Arabidopsis thaliana: one gene and its partners. The protein of the gene in region 3 purifies or fractionates together with the protein of the main gene of each other region. This does not show direct contact. Each region holds a gene or a part of one and is shown on either strand. Other genes may lie near its edges. The genes, in order: AT5G51280, AT4G33370 and AT5G40290.

Evidence for each region.
Region 1: the proteins of AT5G40290 (region 3) and AT5G51280 fractionate together in Arabidopsis thaliana (co-fractionation; one large-scale study listed by BioGRID). This does not show direct contact.
Region 2: the proteins of AT5G40290 (region 3) and AT4G33370 fractionate together in Arabidopsis thaliana (co-fractionation; one large-scale study listed by BioGRID). This does not show direct contact.

The regions. Positions count from the first base shown.
Region 1 is NC_003076.8:20,838,733-20,845,320, reverse strand, and holds AT5G51280 (DEAD-box protein abstrakt), read right to left. Parts: upstream 4,083-6,588; 5' UTR 3,866-4,082; coding exon 2,955-3,865; intron 2,541-2,954; coding exon 1,676-2,540; 3' UTR 1,329-1,675; downstream 1-1,328. Other genes in the region: ACD5 (Diacylglycerol kinase family protein), read left to right, coding at 115-216, 354-716, 791-857, 932-1,069.
Region 2 is NC_003075.7:16,069,169-16,074,881, forward strand, and holds AT4G33370 (DEA(D/H)-box RNA helicase family protein), read right to left. Parts: upstream 2,238-5,713; coding exon 2,148-2,237; intron 2,040-2,147; coding exon 501-2,039; downstream 1-500. Other genes in the region: FLDH (NAD(P)-binding Rossmann-fold superfamily protein), read right to left, coding at 1-206; AT4G33380 (dimethylallyl, adenosine tRNA methylthiotransferase), read left to right, coding at 2,896-3,061, 3,152-3,240, 3,313-3,451, 4,482-4,580, 4,712-4,834, 4,951-5,210, 5,327-5,437.
Region 3 is NC_003076.8:16,103,591-16,110,732, forward strand, and holds AT5G40290 (HD domain-containing metal-dependent phosphohydrolase family protein), read right to left. Parts: upstream 4,912-7,142; coding exon 4,807-4,911; intron 4,649-4,806; coding exon 4,611-4,648; intron 4,517-4,610; coding exon 4,494-4,516; intron 4,308-4,493; coding exon 4,201-4,307; intron 4,124-4,200; coding exon 4,072-4,123; intron 3,989-4,071; coding exon 3,904-3,988; intron 3,710-3,903; coding exon 3,619-3,709; intron 3,514-3,618; coding exon 3,475-3,513; intron 3,383-3,474; coding exon 3,315-3,382; intron 3,234-3,314; coding exon 3,171-3,233; intron 3,103-3,170; coding exon 3,047-3,102; intron 2,966-3,046; coding exon 2,892-2,965; intron 2,822-2,891; coding exon 2,729-2,821; intron 2,651-2,728; coding exon 2,549-2,650; intron 2,453-2,548; coding exon 2,371-2,452; intron 2,253-2,370; coding exon 2,186-2,252; intron 2,099-2,185; coding exon 2,083-2,098; intron 1,957-2,082; coding exon 1,846-1,956; intron 1,744-1,845; coding exon 1,669-1,743; downstream 1-1,668. Other genes in the region: ERA1 (Prenyltransferase family protein), read left to right, coding at 1-13, 179-251, 336-422, 519-684, 766-875, 954-1,193.

The DNA of each region.
Region 1 (6,588 bases), 4.7 Mb from region 3:
GCTTTAGTTCCTTATTATTAACAGCATCCTCAATATCTTTAACCATTAGTGCCTGTGAAAGAAAACTTGATTTCTCCAATCTCTAACAGAGTTTTGTACAATTGATTAGTTCAGATACGGGTTTTATGGTGATGTCATTTCAGAAAGTGAAAAATATCGGTGGATGGGTCCCAAACGCTATGACTATGTTGGAACTAAGATATTCTTGAAGCACAGGTATTTCCCTAGCATATTTACCAATTTAAACTTCCAAAAGAAAACATTAGTGGAATTTCCTCCAAATGATCTACCTTGTTTTTTCGTCCAAGCAAAGCACTGTTTTTTTGAGTTGTTAATTTATATGTTAATGTAAGATCATACGAGGCAGAGGTAATGTTTGAAGAAGCTGAATCAGAGAATTCTAAAGCTTCCCTACATACGCGGAGTAAGACATGGCCATTTCGAAATACCACAAGATCAGAGAAAATACTATGTCGTGCAAATTGCAAGATTTGTAACAGTAAGGTTGGTTGGAACAGTGCAAGCACAACACTTAACCCCTGTCCAGAAAAAACAAGATGGTGTAGAACGAAAGGACGGTTTTTGAGTATAGGTGCTGCAGTGATGTCAAACCGAAATGAAAGAGCACCTGATGGGCTTGTTGTGGATGCACACCTCTCCGACGGTTTCCTTCATCTCATACTCATAAAAGATTGTTCTCGTCCCAAGTACTTATGGTAATGTCTCGACTTTTCCTATTGTCATTCATTTTATGAGTAAGGCTTATATCAGAGATTGTAATGGGTTACAGGCACCTAACCGAGCTTGCAAAAAGAGGTGGAGAACCTTTGAACTTCGAGTTTGTGGAATATCACAAGGTTTGTAAAACATTTTCCTTTTCTAATCTTCTTAACTTGGTTGGGTCCTGATCAAAATATATTTGGTAATGCAGACGCGAGCTTTCACGTTTACATCATTTGGGGAAGAGAGTGTGTGGAATTTGGACGGAGAGATCTTTGAGGCTCACCAATTATCAGCCCAAGTATTGCGTGGCCTTATACCTCTGTTCGCATCTGGTCCAGAGATATAACAACATGCATGTGAATGTGGTTTTATATGAAGCTTTTGTGCATAGTTAGTGACCCAAGTGAAAAAGCCAAATGAGACTGGAAACTAGAAAAGTCTTATAGTGAACATGACAATGTTGCCAAAAAAAGAACATGGCAAACATATTATAGTATCCAAAAATTCGAGATGTAACCATTGGAGATTGGAGATGATATTACTCTTTCTCATTGTAAACATCATTATGATGTAATTAATAGTCTATACCTTTTTCCCCATAAAAAAAAAACGTTACCTTTCAGCGCTGATATGAAAATGTATCTTCAATACAACCCAACGGTGTAAAGGGGCACTTGTAACAATAACAACAGAAAGAAGAGACACCAAAATGAACAACTAAACTCAAAAGCAACCTTAGGGATACAATTCGAAAGACCTTGCACCTTACCGCATGCACATTGTGTACAAAATTTAGTTCAAGAATCCGACCATATATATTAACTAAGAAATATTTTGACATGATAGAACTCGACTCAGTGTAAAAAGCGTGACATATGGAAGATAAACATCACAAACATCACAGTTCGGTAACAGCTAAGATGAGATAACTAGCAAAGGGAACAAAACAAGATTATATTTCTCCTCTGTAGCCACCCGAGCCAAAATAATCTTTTCTTGAGTTAGAAATGGCGACACTCTTCTGGTGCTCAAGTTTTGGACAGTCTCGGATACGATGTCCAAGACCACCACAATAGGCACAACCCTTGACACCACTTGCATTAGCAATGGTCTCTGCTTCTTCCATTGGATCATTCAGCTCAGCAAGGACAGGTGGAATCCTCTGTTTAGCTTCTTGCAACAAGTGTTTCAAATCCAGCAGAGTGGTTTCGCTTTGATTCTTGTTTATAAACGTCGTTGCTATCCCAGTTTTACCACACCGACCTGTTCGTCCTATCCTATGCACATAGTTCTCAATCTCTGCTGGCATGTCGTAGTTGATTACGTGTTGTATATCAGGGAAATCTAGACCCTTTGAAGCAACATCAGTCGCAACCAACACATCTTTTTTCCCAGCTTTAAACGAAGAGATTGCGTACTCTCTGTCTTCTTGATCTTTTCCTCCATGGATGGCCACTGCTTCCACTCCTTTCAGTAACAAGTACTCGTGAATATCATCAACATCAGCTTTGTTCTCACAGAATATCAAAACCGGCGGAGAGGTTTTCTGTAGACACTCGAGGAGGTAAACAATCTTTGCTTCTTGTTTGACGTATTCTACCTCCTGGATCACATCCAGATTCGCAGCTCCAGCTCTTCCTACATTAACTGTCACAGGTTTCACCAGAGCACTTCTGGCAAAGATTTGAATCTTTGTGGGCATTGTGGCAGAGAACAATAGTGTTTGACGTTGAGACTTAAAGTGGTCAAAGACTTCCCTTATGTCATCTTCGAAACCCAAATCAACCAACCTATCTGCCTCATCTAGTGTCAGGTACCTAAAAAAAGGAAAAAAAGGAAGGTAAACATCATTGCCATCTAACATTCTCAAGATTTTGAAATTAAATGACACAGTCTCAAGACTCCAAAGACAAGAAAGATGCATTCAGAAAGAAACACCAGTGCGGAAAATTTATTCAGAGAGAAAAAATCCGATAGAATCACACAATAAAGAACATATATAGCAATGAAGCGCTAAGTAGCTAACAGACACTAGACAATCCTATTGATCTATCCCGTTAACCAGAAACAACAAAACAGGCACAATAAGCAGATATCCCCAAGAATCTAGCCAAGTGCAAAACTCAGAAAACGAGGATATAAGATCAAACAAGGCAGCCAAGACAGTAGACGCAAACATATATTACAATCAGGTTGATTAATCATATTGAAAAGAACCAAAGAAATCATACCTGCAAGCATCTAAGCTCATCTTTTTCTTGGCGAGCATATCCTTTAACCTCCCAGGGGTTGCAACAACAATATGGACACCTCTCTTGACAACCTCCAACTGGGATCTCATATCAATACCTCCAATACATAGCAACGACCTCAATGGCGGGTACCCAGCCTCAACCAAAGGAGCCACAAACTGCTCAACCACTTCATAAGTCTGCCTAGCAAGCTCTCTAGAAGGGCAAACAATAAGCCCAATGGGACCTTCACCAGCAGCAATAGGCATCATCATCTCTTCTTGGAGAGCAATCATGATCATGGGAAGCACGAAAACCAAAGTCTTTCCGGAACCAGTGAAAGCAATCCCAATCATATCTCTCCCAGCCAAAATCACAGGAAGACCCTGAACTTGAATAGGAGTAGGCTGCACAATACCTTTCTCCTTGAGAGTATCGAGAACAGGTCTAGGAAACTTCATATCCTTAAAGTTCTTAATAGGAGGAGGAATATCATCACCATTAACAATAATATGCCATTGCTTCCTAATCAAATCTCTCTGCTTACTAGACATCTTCCTAATATGCAAAGGAGGTTTCCACCCAGTTAAGAGAGGCTCTGTATAAGTGATACCTTTGGCAAGTTCACGAACAGACATAAGCGTCTTCTTATCAGATAAATGCTCCATCATCTCTTTCTCTTGTAAGATGATTTGCTCAGTAGCACTAACTTCGGGTACATCTCGCTTGAGCTGAGTTGCTTGAACAAGTAAACTAGGTTTAGCTTCAGCGAGCTTTTCCTTGTCAGCTTCTTCTTCCAATTCCGAAGCTTTTCCCTTCCGCTGAAGTATCTTCTGCGCTGCAATCGCTCTCCGCTCCGCCACTGATACATACTCAATGTAACTATCAGCTTCTTCCATGATGGATTCCATATCGAGAATTCAGCAACTTCTTCTTCTATTCCCTTTTTCAAAAAAAAATCCCAGGAGAATCGAAGAACACGTATAGGAGGAATAGAAAACTCAAATCAACAAACCCTAGTAGAGAGAGAGCCTCAAATCAACAAGCTTTGCACATCTCTCGAATCAATCGCTAATAGCTTTCCTTTAAAGGGTCACTGACCGACCGAAGTTTTTCTGTAGGTCGTCGGAAATCGGGTTTAGACGGCGTGTAAATTTTGTTTATTGGGCCTATTATCTGTAAGTTAATGGGCTTTCAATAAAGATTTCAGTGACAAAAACAAAAAAAAAACAAATTCATCTCAAATCTCAACTTTTTTTTATCCTTGATCTATTGTGTTCATCTATCATTTAACTTGGTTGTTTACGATAACAAAATTTTGTTCTGTTTTTCGATTTTTTGAATGATTTTCAGATGTATTAAAATTGCTAATATATTGTTAAGTTCTTCACATTACGTAACACGATTTAAATAAAGAAAATGACATGATACATCTTTTGTGAGTTACACTATATATGACATGTGATATAACATAACAACACATTTCATTAGACAATGTATTCGTAGACTCGTAGTTACACAAACAGAACAACTAAAATTAAACAAGGTGACATAGTGACATGTACCAAAACAGAAAATACATAGCCGATATTGTCCCGGTCATGGTTCGCATCTAACCATGATGATATTGACTAAGAAAAGAAAAAGAAATTCAAAGTCCGACCTGAATTCAAAAGAAAATAAACCTGACTCAAATGAATTAACCATTAATTTTACCCAAAAATAATATCAATTCCAAAAACAAGTTCAAGTAAGAAGGAGGAGTTGGGGTCGAAGTTCTATATCATGTTGATTATATATTGTTGCTTTTTGGTGCATGACATCATGCAATATTTAAATGTATTTATCTATATATTTTCTTATTTGGGATATAACCATATAATGAATCATACTTGATGGTTTGTTTAAAAAGAATCATACGACTTGATGTACCTAAGAAAAAGATTCATAACATGGGTTTGTGAAGCTGAGCAACGTTGACATTGCATATGTATCTCTCTTTCCCTCTTTTATGTCTAAGTGCATTTTCTCGTTCATTCATATAAACTTATATTAATATGCCACTTTCATAGTATATTAGTTAGAATTCATTGGATTGTGTTGTTGACAAAAATTGGATTGGTTAAAAACTTAAAAGAGAAAGAAAAAGATAGACACACATTGTCACATACCTATATTATAGGGATCGGGAGACAAAAAGACGTGATGGCAAGATAGATCATGCGAGCAACCAAGGGAGGAAAACCCCATTAAAATATAGATCATTATATGTATTTTATGATATTTTTGTAATATGTAGAATTCATTCGTAAACTAACCGCAAAAACCAAATGAAATTGGAATTACATATATAATAAAAAATAAAAGTAAAAGAAATTGGAATTACATCATATGTCTAGTTACAAGATGAAAAATTCATCTTAAAACATAAGGAAAGTTTTATAAAAAAATACTCATTTCTTCAAGCAAAATACTCAAATTTTAAAAATCTGAAGTCCCCTATTTAAATAGAAGAATTATTTTAGATAAATGTTTTTTCCATATATATTCAAAGTATTAAGAATAATAAATGAATATTAGATTTAATTATCACGAAATTTTGTTATTCTCTGTAACAGTTTCATCTGTATTCCTAGATGATATATTATAGAATATATATAGTATATATGTGAATTGGGATATATAGATCTCTATCATGAACGTGATCCATGATTTCATATGGTCTCCGACTCTCCATTCAATATTCTCATTTGAAGTGCCATGCAGAGGGATTATATATACATGGCAGAACTATGTGAGATTTAAGAAGAATACGCATTTTGTTACTTTACAGTTTTACACTATGTAACATGGACTACAAAAATATTTAAAAACGTTAAATCCTCAAGATATCATATAAAGTGACTAACATCATGTGATGCAATTTTTCCGAAGTAAGAACAATATATACTTCATCTTTAATTTTAATTTCTTGATGAATTAATAATATTCATGTTTTTGAAAAAGTATATCCAGCCGTGCACAAAAATAATATTAGTTTCCAAAACAGACATTTTCCAAATCTAAAAAAAAATACTAGTTAGCAAATCCCTTCATAAGATTGTTGAGAATTGGCAGAAACTTTCAAACATAAAAAAAAAATGAGAAATAATATAAGCCCCTCCCTCTTCTTTGTAGCTCTCTGATAATGAAGAAAATCCTTGTGTGAGCTAGTAAATAACGAGAGTGAAAGAATCTATTATCAAAAACAAAATAAAAAAGAGTGAAAGAAGAATCTTCAACAATGAATCATGAGTCATATGCATGACCAAGTTATCTTCATTTTTTTTCTTGTTTCTATAAATATAAGATTATGTGGTTATTCAAAAGGAATTGACTGTCTCTGAAATTGGGAGCACGAACGAAGCCACGAACTTGGGTCTTTGGCTCTTCTTTGTGTCAATGTCTCCGTGTGAGAATAGAAGACTCCATCGCTTCTTCAACTTCAAGATGGCAAAGTGAGAAAGATACCTTCTTTTCTTCTTATGCCACAGCTTAAAGTTGCATCCTTTAAATATCAGGTAGGTCAAAGTTGTGACTTTTTCTTGTTTATTAGAGATTCCGATCATGCTTGGCTTGATGGGTTTCTTGTTTC
Region 2 (5,713 bases), on a different chromosome or scaffold from region 3:
AGAGAACGGTAATCCGTTACGTCTCCATAGGCGAGCTCAACTTCTGGAGGTAAGTCAGAGAGATCGCTGGTGCGGCGGACCAATGCACGTACGGAGTGGCCACGACGGAGGAGAACGTGGCAGAGTCGTGCGCCTAAGTAACCAGTAGAGCCGGTGACTAATATTTTCATATTTTCTGTTTCTGTGTTGGGCATCTTTGGGCCCATCGTTGCTTTTCTAAGCCAAGAAACCTCTAATTGGTTGAGAGGGTTTAATTAATTAATATTTAATACAAACATCATTGTCTGAAAGCTGGATCAACCAATAGCAAGATTCTTTTGTGTTTTGTTTTGTCACATACTACAGATAACAAAGAACTAGTAAGTTTCTCATTTGAGTGAAACAAAATTTCAAATTACAGACAGATCCACGAAAATACAAGATGACATAATGAGTAAAGAAATCTCAATTCGGTGATAGCTAGTTCGAAACAAGATTAGAGCACGAACCTTGAAACAAGATTACACCTCTCCTCTGTATCCATCAGAGCCAAAATGGTCTTTCCTAGAACTAGATATAGCTACACTCTTCTGATGTTCAAATTTTGGACACTGTAGAATCCGATGCCCGAGACCACCACAATAAGCACAACCCTTGACACCGCTTGCATTAGCAATGGTTTCTGTTTCTTCCATTGGACCATTAAGCTCAGCAAGGACAGGTGGAATCCTCTGTTTAGCTTCTTGCAACAAGTGTTTCAAATCGAGCAGCGTGATTTCGCTTTGGTTCTTGTTTATAAACGTAGTTGCTATCCCAGTTTTCCCACAGCGACCTGTTCTTCCTATCCTATGCACGTAGTTCTCAATCTCCCCAGGCATGTCGTAGTTGATTACATGTTGTATATCAGGGAAATCTAAACCCTTTGAAGCAACATCGGTCGCGACCAAAACGTCTTTTTTCCCAGCTTTGAACAAAGATATTGCGTAATCTCTGTCTTCTTGATCTTTTCCTCCATGGATAGCCACTGCTTCCACTCCTTTCAGTAACAAGTACTCGTGAATATCATCAACATCAGCTTTGTTCTCACAGAATATTAAAACCGGTGGAGTGGTTTTCTGCAGACACTCCAGAAGGTAAACAATCTTTGCTTCTTGCTTGACGTATTCAACCTCCTGTATGACATCGAGATTCGCAGCTCCAGCTCTTCCTACATTAACAGTTACAGGTTTCACCAGAGCACTTGTGGCAAAGATTTGGATTTTTGCAGGCATTGTGGCAGAAAACAAAAGTGTTTGACGCTGAGACTTAAAGTGGTCAAAGACATGTCTTATGTCATCTTCGAAACCCAAATCAACCAACCTATCTGCTTCATCCAGTGTCAACAACCTGCAAGCATCTAAGCTCATCTTTTTCTTGGCGAGGATATCCTTCAACCTTCCAGGAGTAGCAACAACGATGTGAACACCTTTCTTAACAACGTCCAACTGTGATCTCATATCCACTCCTCCAATGCATAGCAACGACCTCAACCGCGGGTATCCATCCTCGACTAAAGATGCCACAAACTGTTCAACCACATCGTAAGTCTGCTTAGCAAGCTCTCTAGACGGACAAATAACAAGCGCAATGGGACCTTCTCCAGCAGCTATAGGCATCATTATCTCCTCCTGCAGAGCTAATATGATCATAGGAAGCACGAAAACCAACGTCTTTCCGGAACCAGTGAACGCAATCCCAATCATATCTCTGCCAGACAAAACAACAGGAAGACCCTGAACTTGGATAGGAGTAGGGTGCATTATTCCTTTATCCTTGAGCATACGGAGAAGTGGACTCGGAAATTTCATATCCATGAAGTTTTTGATTGGAGGAGGAATATCTTCACCGTTAACTGTAATATGCCATTGCTTCCTAATCAAATCCATCTGTTTGGTTGACATCTTCCTAACGTGCAGAGGGGGTTTCCACCATGTTGAGAGAGGCTCTGTATAAGTGATACCTCTGGCTAATTCACCAACAGACATAAGCTTCTTCTTGTCAGATAAATGCTCCATCATCCCCTTCTCTTGTAAAATAATGGCCTCGGTAGCACTGACTTAAGGTACATGTCGCTTGAGCTGAGTTGCTTGAACAAGTAAGCTAGGTTTAGCTTCTTCAGTGAGCTTTACCTTGCCAGGTTCTTCCACCACCTTTCGCTTCATCTGCGCTAGACGCTCCTCTACTGGAACATACTCCACGTAACCATCATCTACTTCCATGATTCAAAATCCACTCGCCAACTTTTTCAAAGATCGAATCCAAACCCTAATCAGCAGATCTCTCGACTTTCAAGGAAGATCACGCAGATAGATATGACCGACACGGAGTTTTGGTTAAACCGGGGTTGGGGAATGATCGGGTGTGTTGTGTTTTCTGATTATAAGCAAAGAAAAGAAAAGCTACAAGAAGAGAGTCTCAATTAGAATTCGTATGTTGACAAGGAGCTAGGTAAAAGGTAGTTTTTCAAAAATTTAATTTCCATTTTTTTCATATATTGGATTGAAAAATGGCAATGACATGAATCATAGGATTATCACCACATTTAAAGATGTAGTATTTACATAACAATTGCAAGAAATAATACTACAAAACTTCCTATCTAGTATAGACGCTGCCAAAGAAATACATACGACGTTTTTATCCACACGCATTGATGAGATTGGTATATATCTCTGTCTCTGTCGAGTGAAAAATAAATTAATAGAGTAATAATTAAAAGCTCTCTCTCTCTATCTCCCACGATTTCCTTTTTCCGCCGGAAGAAGAAGCAAAAAAAAAAGAAATCGAATCTCTCTTTCAAGTGTTCGATTTAAAGCAAAAGTGTAATTATAATCGGAAGCGAGATCTTGAGAAATGGTGGGATGACGGCGGAGGGAGATGGCGAGGGGAGGAGGAGAATGGACCGGAGGGATCGCCGGAACCGGAGTTCTCTCTTTCAAAAGAATCACTCTACTTGTTTGCTTTTTCAACATTCTCATTGCTCTCTTTGTTCTTCGCTTTCTCTATGCTTCTTCTCTCCACATCTATTCCAATAACGATAATGGTTCCTACTTTTTATTTTCCTTTTCATTTTTGCTCTCTGATTCATGATAATTCGTATCTGAAGCAGCTCTGTTGGTTTTTTGTTATTCAGTTGTTAAGTACACAGCTGATGAGATTAGGAAAATGGAGGAATCTATTCGGATTCGAAGATCGAAGGAACCTACTCTGATTCTTCAATTGGTTAGTGGCTTTTTAAAATGGAACTCGAAGATGCACATTGGCTCTTCTCACAATGTTTGATTTCCTTGTTAGGTGAAGAAGCTCAAGCATGAGGTTTCCACTGCAGAATCTAGTACTGAACTATCTCCTAATGTTAAACACAAACTAGTTGATGAGATCCTCCAGCGTTTGAAAAGCTTTGAGGACAAATCTAATGTTACTCAGCTTAGAGGTTTGTGCTACTCTACTATGCCCATTAGCTTCATGACATTTATTTTTCAAACTGCCACAAACTTGCATTTCATGACTTTTCCTGATCTAGCTGCTTAGGATTTGTCTTATTACCTCTTTGGAATGTCATGGTGATTTGTCTTATTACCTAACCTGTGTAAGATTTTGTTGGTATCAATAGCTCAGTTTAGTAAATATTTCATTATCATTCATGTAGAAGTGGATTTTTGCTCAATAATGCATATGGTTATCAGGATAGTAAAATAGGCTCACAAATTTCAGACCTTTCTGCATGCACTATCACATACTAGACAGAACAATTGATTTTAGCGGGATTTTCAATGGAGATTTTTTCATGCCTAGTTTTTCTATTCTTCTTGTATAAGTTCATCAGGTCTATGGAACATAAGCTCTAACACCCACTTAAGTTCTGTTATAATCTATGCATTGATGATCATATGCTATGTACATGAAACATTTGAGCCACAGAAACTCTAGCGGTGGTGCCATTGTATACATAATCTTTTCGATGTTCTTTAGATTCTCAGTAGCTTACCTAACATGTTCGTATGTCTCAACATGCTTCTCTAATTCCTTTCTACTGCATCAGAAAAAGTATGCTCAAGAATTCCAAAAAGTCATGATATTTACCTTTTTGACTTGTTAAAAGTAGATTTTTCATTCTATTCACTTCACTTGAACAACTCTTAACATTTATTATGTGCTGACTAGGCTAATGCGCAATGTGCGTTAATTCTTAGTTATTTACAAGAGTTATTGGAAAAAGGTGGAAGGTAGGAATGGGTTAATTTATTTGGTTAGAGAGAGGTGACAAAATTCTAATAATCCAGACTTTGAAGACACTGGATTTCTTTTTGATGCTTCAAACTGAGTTCTATTGTTTTCCCTTGTAGTATTCGTAATGCACGTAGACTTGTTAATGTTTTCGCCTACAATAGTTTTCCTTTTGACACATTCATGTTATCTCTGTAGTGACCTTTAATACCTTCTTATCTTCATTTGGCAAACAGAAGTTGTAGAAACGTGGCGCAATGAGAAGCTGGAGGAAGCTAAAGAGCTAATTCAAGGGCAAAATGGAGTAAATTCCACCCTTATAGTGGAGGAAGCAGGTATTACTCCTTTAGAAAGATTACTGAGTTTCTCACCTTGAGCAAAGATTCATTTATGGAGTCCTCCCGATACTCTATCCTTGTTTTGTATAATTAGAGAGAAAACTAATTTTTGTTCTGTAATTATCTAGGGATGCTTGTAAGAGCTTTGGAGTTGGAGTGGGATGTGCTGTCTGAAGAAATCGGTTTCTGGTTACCTGCTGAGGTTACCAATGTAGAACATGATGATAAACCTGAAGGAGAGGAAGAGCCTGGTAATGTTTTCAAAATTTTCTACATTCTTGATCTCTGCTTTTGCATTTATTTGGGTGGAAAAGTGTGGTGACACTGGCGAATTCAAATCTCATGAAGTTGTGCATTTTTTCCGTAGAGGAAATATTGGCAGGCAGACCAGTGCCAGCTGTATGTAATGCAGAGCTTCACACAGATTATGGTGGTGCTGCAGTGAGATGGGGGCTTACACATCATAAAGAGAGTGCAGCTGATTGTTGCCAGGCTTGCTTAGACCAGGCAAAGCGTGCGAAACCTGGAGAAACGAGATGCAATATTTGGGTTTATTGCCCATCTGAGTTTGGTTGTTTCTCTCCAGATATTTATGAGCATAAACATCAGGAGTGTTGGCTTAAATACGTAAGAACTTACCTCGTACACATACTACTTTACCCAATTTTCAGTTTCCTTGAGATTACTCGTCCAAGTTGGACTGGAAGCTTGGCTCATATCCAATATGTCTATGTGAATTGCAGGCAGAGAAGCCAAAACAGAATTTCAAAGACAGATATTCTGAGACATACAGAAACAACCACCCAAAAGCGCCATCTATCGTTCCATGGGTTTCAGGTGTTGTAACGGCTTGAGCAAAACCCATGTGGACAGATTGATGGGAGAAATAGGAGATAGTTTTGGTTTTTTTTTCTCAGCTGTGTTACCATTTTCAGAGTCTTGAAAATTGGAGTACCGTACCAAAGATGCAAACATCTTTTGGCCAGATGTATACGAGGGAATAGAATGTTTTGTTGTTTTTGTTGATTGGCTTTAAACACTTGTGGTCGAAGTCGAATATGGTGTAAGGAATCATGTTTTTGTTCAAGCTTGTTCGATTCTATAGTGGATGATTAAAAAGCTATCTATAA
Region 3 (7,142 bases):
AAGCTCACGGTGGGTATGGTCTCCTACTTACTTCCATTATGTTGAGGCTTAGATAAAAATTGTGCTTTGCTTCCCTCTTCCTTGATGACATGGTTATTGATGGTTAAGTATAATTAATTTTCTGAAATAGGATTTGTCACCTGCAGCTTTGCTTATTACCAAGTTGTTTTTTGTTTAGGTATACCTACTGTGGTTTGGCTGCTATGATTTTAATCAATGAGGTCGACCGTTTGAATTTGGATTCATTAATGGTAACATACAATGCTGTTTGGAGATGATTAATAATTTTCCCTGAGAGATATTTTCCTTACCAAATAATTTCCTTATGATTCTAGAATTGGGCTGTACATCGACAAGGAGTAGAAATGGGATTTCAAGGTAGGACGAACAAATTGGTCGATGGTTGCTACACATTTTGGCAGGTTAACTTTCTATCTTTCAGGATTATTATTGGCCCTACTTCTAAATTCTTCACCGTTGTTGTCTTTTCTTATTTCCTTTGGGTATATGTTAAACAGGCAGCCCCTTGTGTTCTACTACAAAGATTATATTCAACCAATGATCATGACGTTCATGGATCATCACATATATCAGAAGGGACAAATGAAGAACATCATGCTCATGATGAAGATGACCTTGAAGACAGTGATGATGATGATGATTCTGATGAGGACAACGATGAAGGTATTCAATCAAATTTCTCAACCATCAAGTCCATCTGATAATTCAAAACACAACGAAATTTTAGTTAGCTTATATTTGCAGATTCAGTGAATGGTCACAGAATCCATCATACATCCACCTACATTAACAGGAGAATGCAACTGGTTTTTGATAGCCTCGGCTTGCAGAGATATGTACTCTTGTGCTCTAAGGTCAGTCCAGAACAAAACATCCAGTCAAGTTAACACTTAACATTTGTATAACACAAGCACACACACTTGTATGCGCAGATCCCTGACGGTGGATTCAGAGACAAGCCGAGGAAACCCCGTGACTTCTACCACACATGTTACTGCCTGAGCGGCTTGTCTGTGGCTCAGCACGCTTGGTTAAAAGACGAGGACACTCCTCCTTTGACTCGCGACATTATGGGTGGCTACTCGAATCTCCTTGAACCTGTTCAACTTCTTCACAACATTGTCATGGATCAGTATAATGAAGCTATCGAGTTCTTCTTTAAAGCAGCATGACCCGTTGTTGCTAATGTATGGGAAACTCCAAACATAAGAGTTTTCGTAGTGTTGTAACTTGTAAGATTTCAAAAGAAGTTTCACTAATTTAACCTTAAAACCTGTTACTTTTTTATTACGTATATACCATTTATCATATCTTTGGTTTACGACTTAAAGAATTTGATGATTGTTGAAAGACTTGCATCGTTATTGGTTTTAGAGAATTCTGACAAACTCGTGTAGTAGAAATGCATGGATTCGTAGTGAACGAGTTTGTATCCGATATCACCTGAACGTCAGGTGTTTCGAACCAAAAATTGGATGTTAAAACCAAAAAATAGATCAACCAAACATGAACATATCTTTGTTCTTCAAATCTTGTCGAGATATAATATTTAACAAAAAAAAAAAAACTTATTACTTCCACCGTCACCAATTCCCCCCCAGAAACAAGAACCCATGTAATGAAGTAAATCATGGCTAAGCCACGTAGTTACATCAGTACTTGAGCTTTGATTCCATACGTTCTCATTTGGAAGTTTTCAAATGCCTCAGAAACTGCTTCTACCTGTAGAATAAACATTGCAAACCAGAAAAATAAAAACGTTACTTTGTGGTTAAATAAAACGAAACAGTAATGTAATCATAAAAGAGAGTAATAATCACATACCAATTCTGGTTTTTTGGCATATACTCTCACTATCATTTCTTGATATGTTGTTGGTAACAAGTGGCTAACTCTGTCCTCAGGTATCACAAACTTCTCTGCACTATTATAATCCTGTAAATACCATAGAAAAATCAATTTGTTTATTGAGATTCTCTGTGTTATTTTCAAGGTTTCCTCTCTTTACACATTTAGAGAATCAAATCTGCATAACAAGAACGAAGACTTTTATGTATGTACCTTATAGAAGTTGATGCTAAAGAAGTCAAGCACAAGGATAAGTTGGTTAGAACTTTAATGAGGAAATTGAGAAAACAGAGAAGCTAAACTGTACTTTGTTTACCATTCAAGAGGATTTTCTCTCCCACGAGCTAAATCAATCTTGACGTTTGTAACAGCTATATCTTCTTCTTTTAGTGTCAAGCTTGTTTGCTTCTGTTAAATCAGAGTGATACGTATATATGGCAAAGGTCCTCACTGTATATAAAAATAGTTTCCTCTTATTTTGCTGTGTTAAAGATTACAAACCTGAGAAACAGATGATATCTTCAGGAGTGATAGGTTTGAAATGATCGATTTTGTCCTTTGGTACCGCATACTCGTTACAGAACTGCAAGTAAGAAGTCATACATGTCTTTCTTCAGAAGGACGATACTTTACCTAAATAAGCACCAAAAGAAAGGTAAAGTTTGTATAAAAAAGTTACTTGGTACAAGTGCCTTCTGCTAAGGCGGAGTATCAGCTCTTTAGCTTCTGCAAGTTCTGGATCTGGAGATCTTTCAATCGTTTTGAGGATTGTGTCGTCTAACTGCATTTGTCTGGAGAAAAAAATGATGTAAACTACAAGCAAAAGAGTTTTGATGCAGAGAGGGAAAGATTTGTGTACCTTCCAGTATTGAGAAGGATCATTAATCATAGAAGAAATCTCCAAGACATTGTTGGCTTTGACCATTGCATCTACTATCATAAGCTCTATGGCCTGCAAAGAAACAAATGGGAAAGAGAGAAAGAATAGACAAGGTACAGAGAGAATGATAATGGTACAATACCATTTTTTTGGGATGCATGTAGACGGTTCCACAAAGATCAGCTCGAGTTGCAAACAACTTGTGGACAGTACGATCTGCAAAAAAAAGTCACCCGATTTTACATAAGAGGCAAATGCAAATGCAGAATAAATATGTATCAGGTGGACAAAACTCACATTCCTTGGCGGGGTAGCAGATTTCATTGTCTATGACTCTCATTGGTTCTGTTAGTCTATAAACTACTAAGAATCAGTGAATGTCAAAACAAAAACTGAAATGACTATAAAGTAGTATGAAGACCTTTGAAACTGAAAGTTGCACCCTAGTCCACAAGCTCGAGAGTCTCGGACAATGTAGTCAAACCTACAAAATTTTCAGTTGATTTCGTAAGCATCATGATGAGTGAAAAAAGAAAGAAAGAAACTAAGGGAAAGATAGAATTACTTATCCACATCAATCCCATTTCGACCATTAGCAACAATGTCATACAAGAAACGCTTCTCTGCATTGCCCTACAAATTATGAAAAAAAGAAAATATATACAAAGCTTAATTAGTTGTTCATGTTTGATTAGAATAGAGAACATGCCTGTTATAAAATTTACTTTCAGCTCTGAAACTTCAGTACTAGCTAGTATCATGTCCTGTAGTGTTAAGTAAACATTTGAGAAAATCATCACCAAAGTGGAAAATATTTAATACTAAAGGTCATTTGAGAGAAGTTAAACAGTCTTGAGAAAGAAAATTACTTTGACTCTTTTTAGCATTTTTGCATCAACATCTATGTGATGTGTATCGACTATATAGTCAATCATGTTTATAGACATTAACTCATGAGACCTGCATACAAGAACTGGCATATAAAGAAGAGCTAGAAAGAAGAATAAATCCATAGAGCCAAAGTAGTAAATATTTTTATTTTATTTTTGAAGAAAATGTAAAATTTATTCGAAAAAGCGTTTGTACATCAGCAATGTAGTAATATTTCTTGTATCATATCAAATTATCAAGTAACACCATGGCATTGAACATACCACTGACAGCCACTTATGACCTTTGGGAGGAACTCACGCTCAAACATATGACTGAAAGGCCCATGGCCAATGTCATGGAGAAGTCCTACAAAAATATACAAAGAGATATAAAAAATTGTATCTCAATGAATAATTAATGTAGTCATATATTTAGCTAACAATAGTTACCAGCAAGTCTCACAGTCTGAAGATCATGATTGTCAATACCAAGCTCCATTCCCTATAACATATACATTACATACTTAACAAAAATGTGACTGTACGTACCACTGAAATTTGTACAAATTATCCAAATACCTGGAAAGTTTTGAGCCTCTGAACAGTTTCACCTGCAAGCCAATACACACCTAGAGAGTGCTCAAATCTAGAATGTACAGCTCCTGGATATACCATGTTTGTCACTCCTAAACCATGCATGTAAGAAAGAAGATACACCACTCAAGACTTATTACAGCTACAGCTAATAAACTAAGCAAAAGAAAAATATTTTGGAGAAAAATATTTCTATATTTTCCTTCTAGCATTTCATACAGTAATTCTGAATATAATGCTTCTTTTTTTTTGGTATTGAAAAGGTAAGAAAAACTCACCAAGTTGCTTTAGTTCACGAAGCCTGCCACAAGGAATTAGGATAAAAAGAATCAGCACATTTCTCAGTCTGATTTTAATATACCTTTTGAAATGAGCACAATCCAACAACTAATTACCTTTGGAACTGCTCAGTGTCAATGAATTTTAAACAAAGCTGCATAACAGATTAAACAATGAGTTTTCACAGACTTATCAAGTGGTTTAGAGCATTTGAAATTCAAGCCAAAATTGGAAAAACTCTAAATACAAAGAAGATAATCACATCACAGAAAATCCGAACCATTTGGAAAGTGAGAAGAAGAGAAAACTAACAGGATCAAGATAGATGTTTCCATGAACGTTGTCGTGGACATGTTTGCTGAACCGGAGTTCATTCGCCGGAAAACAACTCAGGTCTTCATTGCAATACTCTCCCATCACTAGATATTTCACGTCGCCTTTTTTTTTGGTCAAGAAAACCTAATCTGTAATACTAATACTCGCACACGTCAGCAAATTAAAATCTAACTGTTGAAAGTTTCTGATATTTGTAATCTGACGGACAAGATTTTCTTCATGTCAATTTATTACCCAAAGCAAACTGTGTCTGTTTCGCTTACCTTCCCCGAGTTAAACACTTTGTAGAAACCACAAAACCTACTTTTTTTGGTCCTCAATATTGAATGTTGTTATTGGTAACACATCAAAGTCTTTAATGGTTTAGCGGCAGAAACGATAAAAGGATAGGTTTGGGAATATTTTTCGGGAAAAATGTCAAAAAAATCGCGAACTTTCAAATTTGGGATGAAAAAAGCATAAATATTCAAGAAGACAATTAAATCCTAAAGTTTAGTTTGACTTTTGATAAAATGATCAAGTTTTGTTAACTTGACCATTTAGGGCATGTCGTTAAGTTTCCGTCAACCAAACAATCACAGAGTTAACTTTCCGTTAGAATCTCTCTTATATCAAAACGACGTCGTTTTGAAAATTAGAAAATGAAAAAGAAAAACAGCAGTTCAAGTGACTCGAAATGCTGATCTTCTGAACTAATAGAGGAATTCAACCATTAACCTGCATTAACATTATAATATCTTACAGACATAGTATATATATATATATATACACAAAACATAATAATATACAATTAATTAAATATCTGCAATTTATTAAAAATAACAAAACTAAATAAAATCAACAACCAAATATATGCAAATATTAAATATATTTACCCTCAATAAATATTTGGAAATTTCAATTATTTAGTTTGCTATGTTAGTTTCTTCTATATTTGAAAAATTATTGATTTCTAAATTATATAAAACAAACTGAAACTTGGATAAATTAATTTGTATTTATATTATAATATATATTAGATAAATATAAAACATAATTATTCTAACTTGAAATTGATGTAATATTAATAGTTAGATAGAAAATAAATAAATAAAAATTATTTTAGTTACATTATAAGAAAAAGTGATAATTGTATTAATGGTATATATATTTAAATGAAAAGGATTGTATAATTTTAAACTCACATATTTAATATTATATATTCTAATGGTTTCTGTTATTTTTTTACATTATATATATATATATATACATGCTCTGTTTACCATAATACAAGAATATTAATGTAGTTCAATGGTTGAGTGTCTCTTATAAGTCCAAAAGGTCAGTTGTTCGACTCTCCTTGTTAGCAAATTTTCCTTCTTATATTCTAATGTCCAAAATGACGTCGTTTTGATTTCACGGAGATTCTAACGAAAAGTTAACACCGTGATTGTTTTGTTGACGGAAAATTAACGACAAGCCCTAATTGGCCAAGTCAACAAAACTTGATCATTTTATCAAAAGTCAAAATAAACTTTAGGATTTAAATGTCTTTTTGAAAGTTCAGGTTTTTTACGTCCCAAATTTGAAAGTTCACGATTTTTTTGACATTTTTCCCGATACTCTTCCCTGAAAGCTCATTAGATAATTTGGAAATACTCTTTCCCGTGCTCGAAAGTTCGTTTCTTATTCCACAAGTTAATAATACGAAGAATGATGCATAGGAGGGTTGAGACTTGAGATAAACACCAAATCTTTTAATCCTAATCCCTTTAAATAAACAATTAGAAGATTATTTTCGGGCATTAGAACGAAACCCCTTTTTACTAATTAAAACAAGCTAATAATTCAAATGTACCACGTCCATAAACACCAACGTAAAGCCCAAAATATATATGCTGCATCATTTAATCATCAGTTTGTTTCAAAATTTATGTTGCGTCTTTTTTATATGTATATTTTTCTTTTTAGATTTGATCTCCTTAAATTGTTTCACGTCGACTATCTATGTTTGGTTGTGTGCATGATGCATCTTCTGTAAGTCTTTTCATCTCAAGTTTATTTATTTCGTTTTATCGAGAATTAAGAATTTAAATCAACGTTTTTAATAAATTGATGATTTTAATAACACTTTCGCCACCAATAAATCGGAAGAAAATGGGATTATATGTTTCAAACAATAGTTTAGGTTAAAGTTGCAAGAAACCAAAGAAACCAAGTCCTTTTGCAAACACTTATTTTTAAAGTAAGTCTTTTTCTCGTCTTCTTCCTCATTTGTGTCCATTGACCAAAGGTGGAAGAAGAAGAGCTTACTTCATCACTTCCGCTGTCAA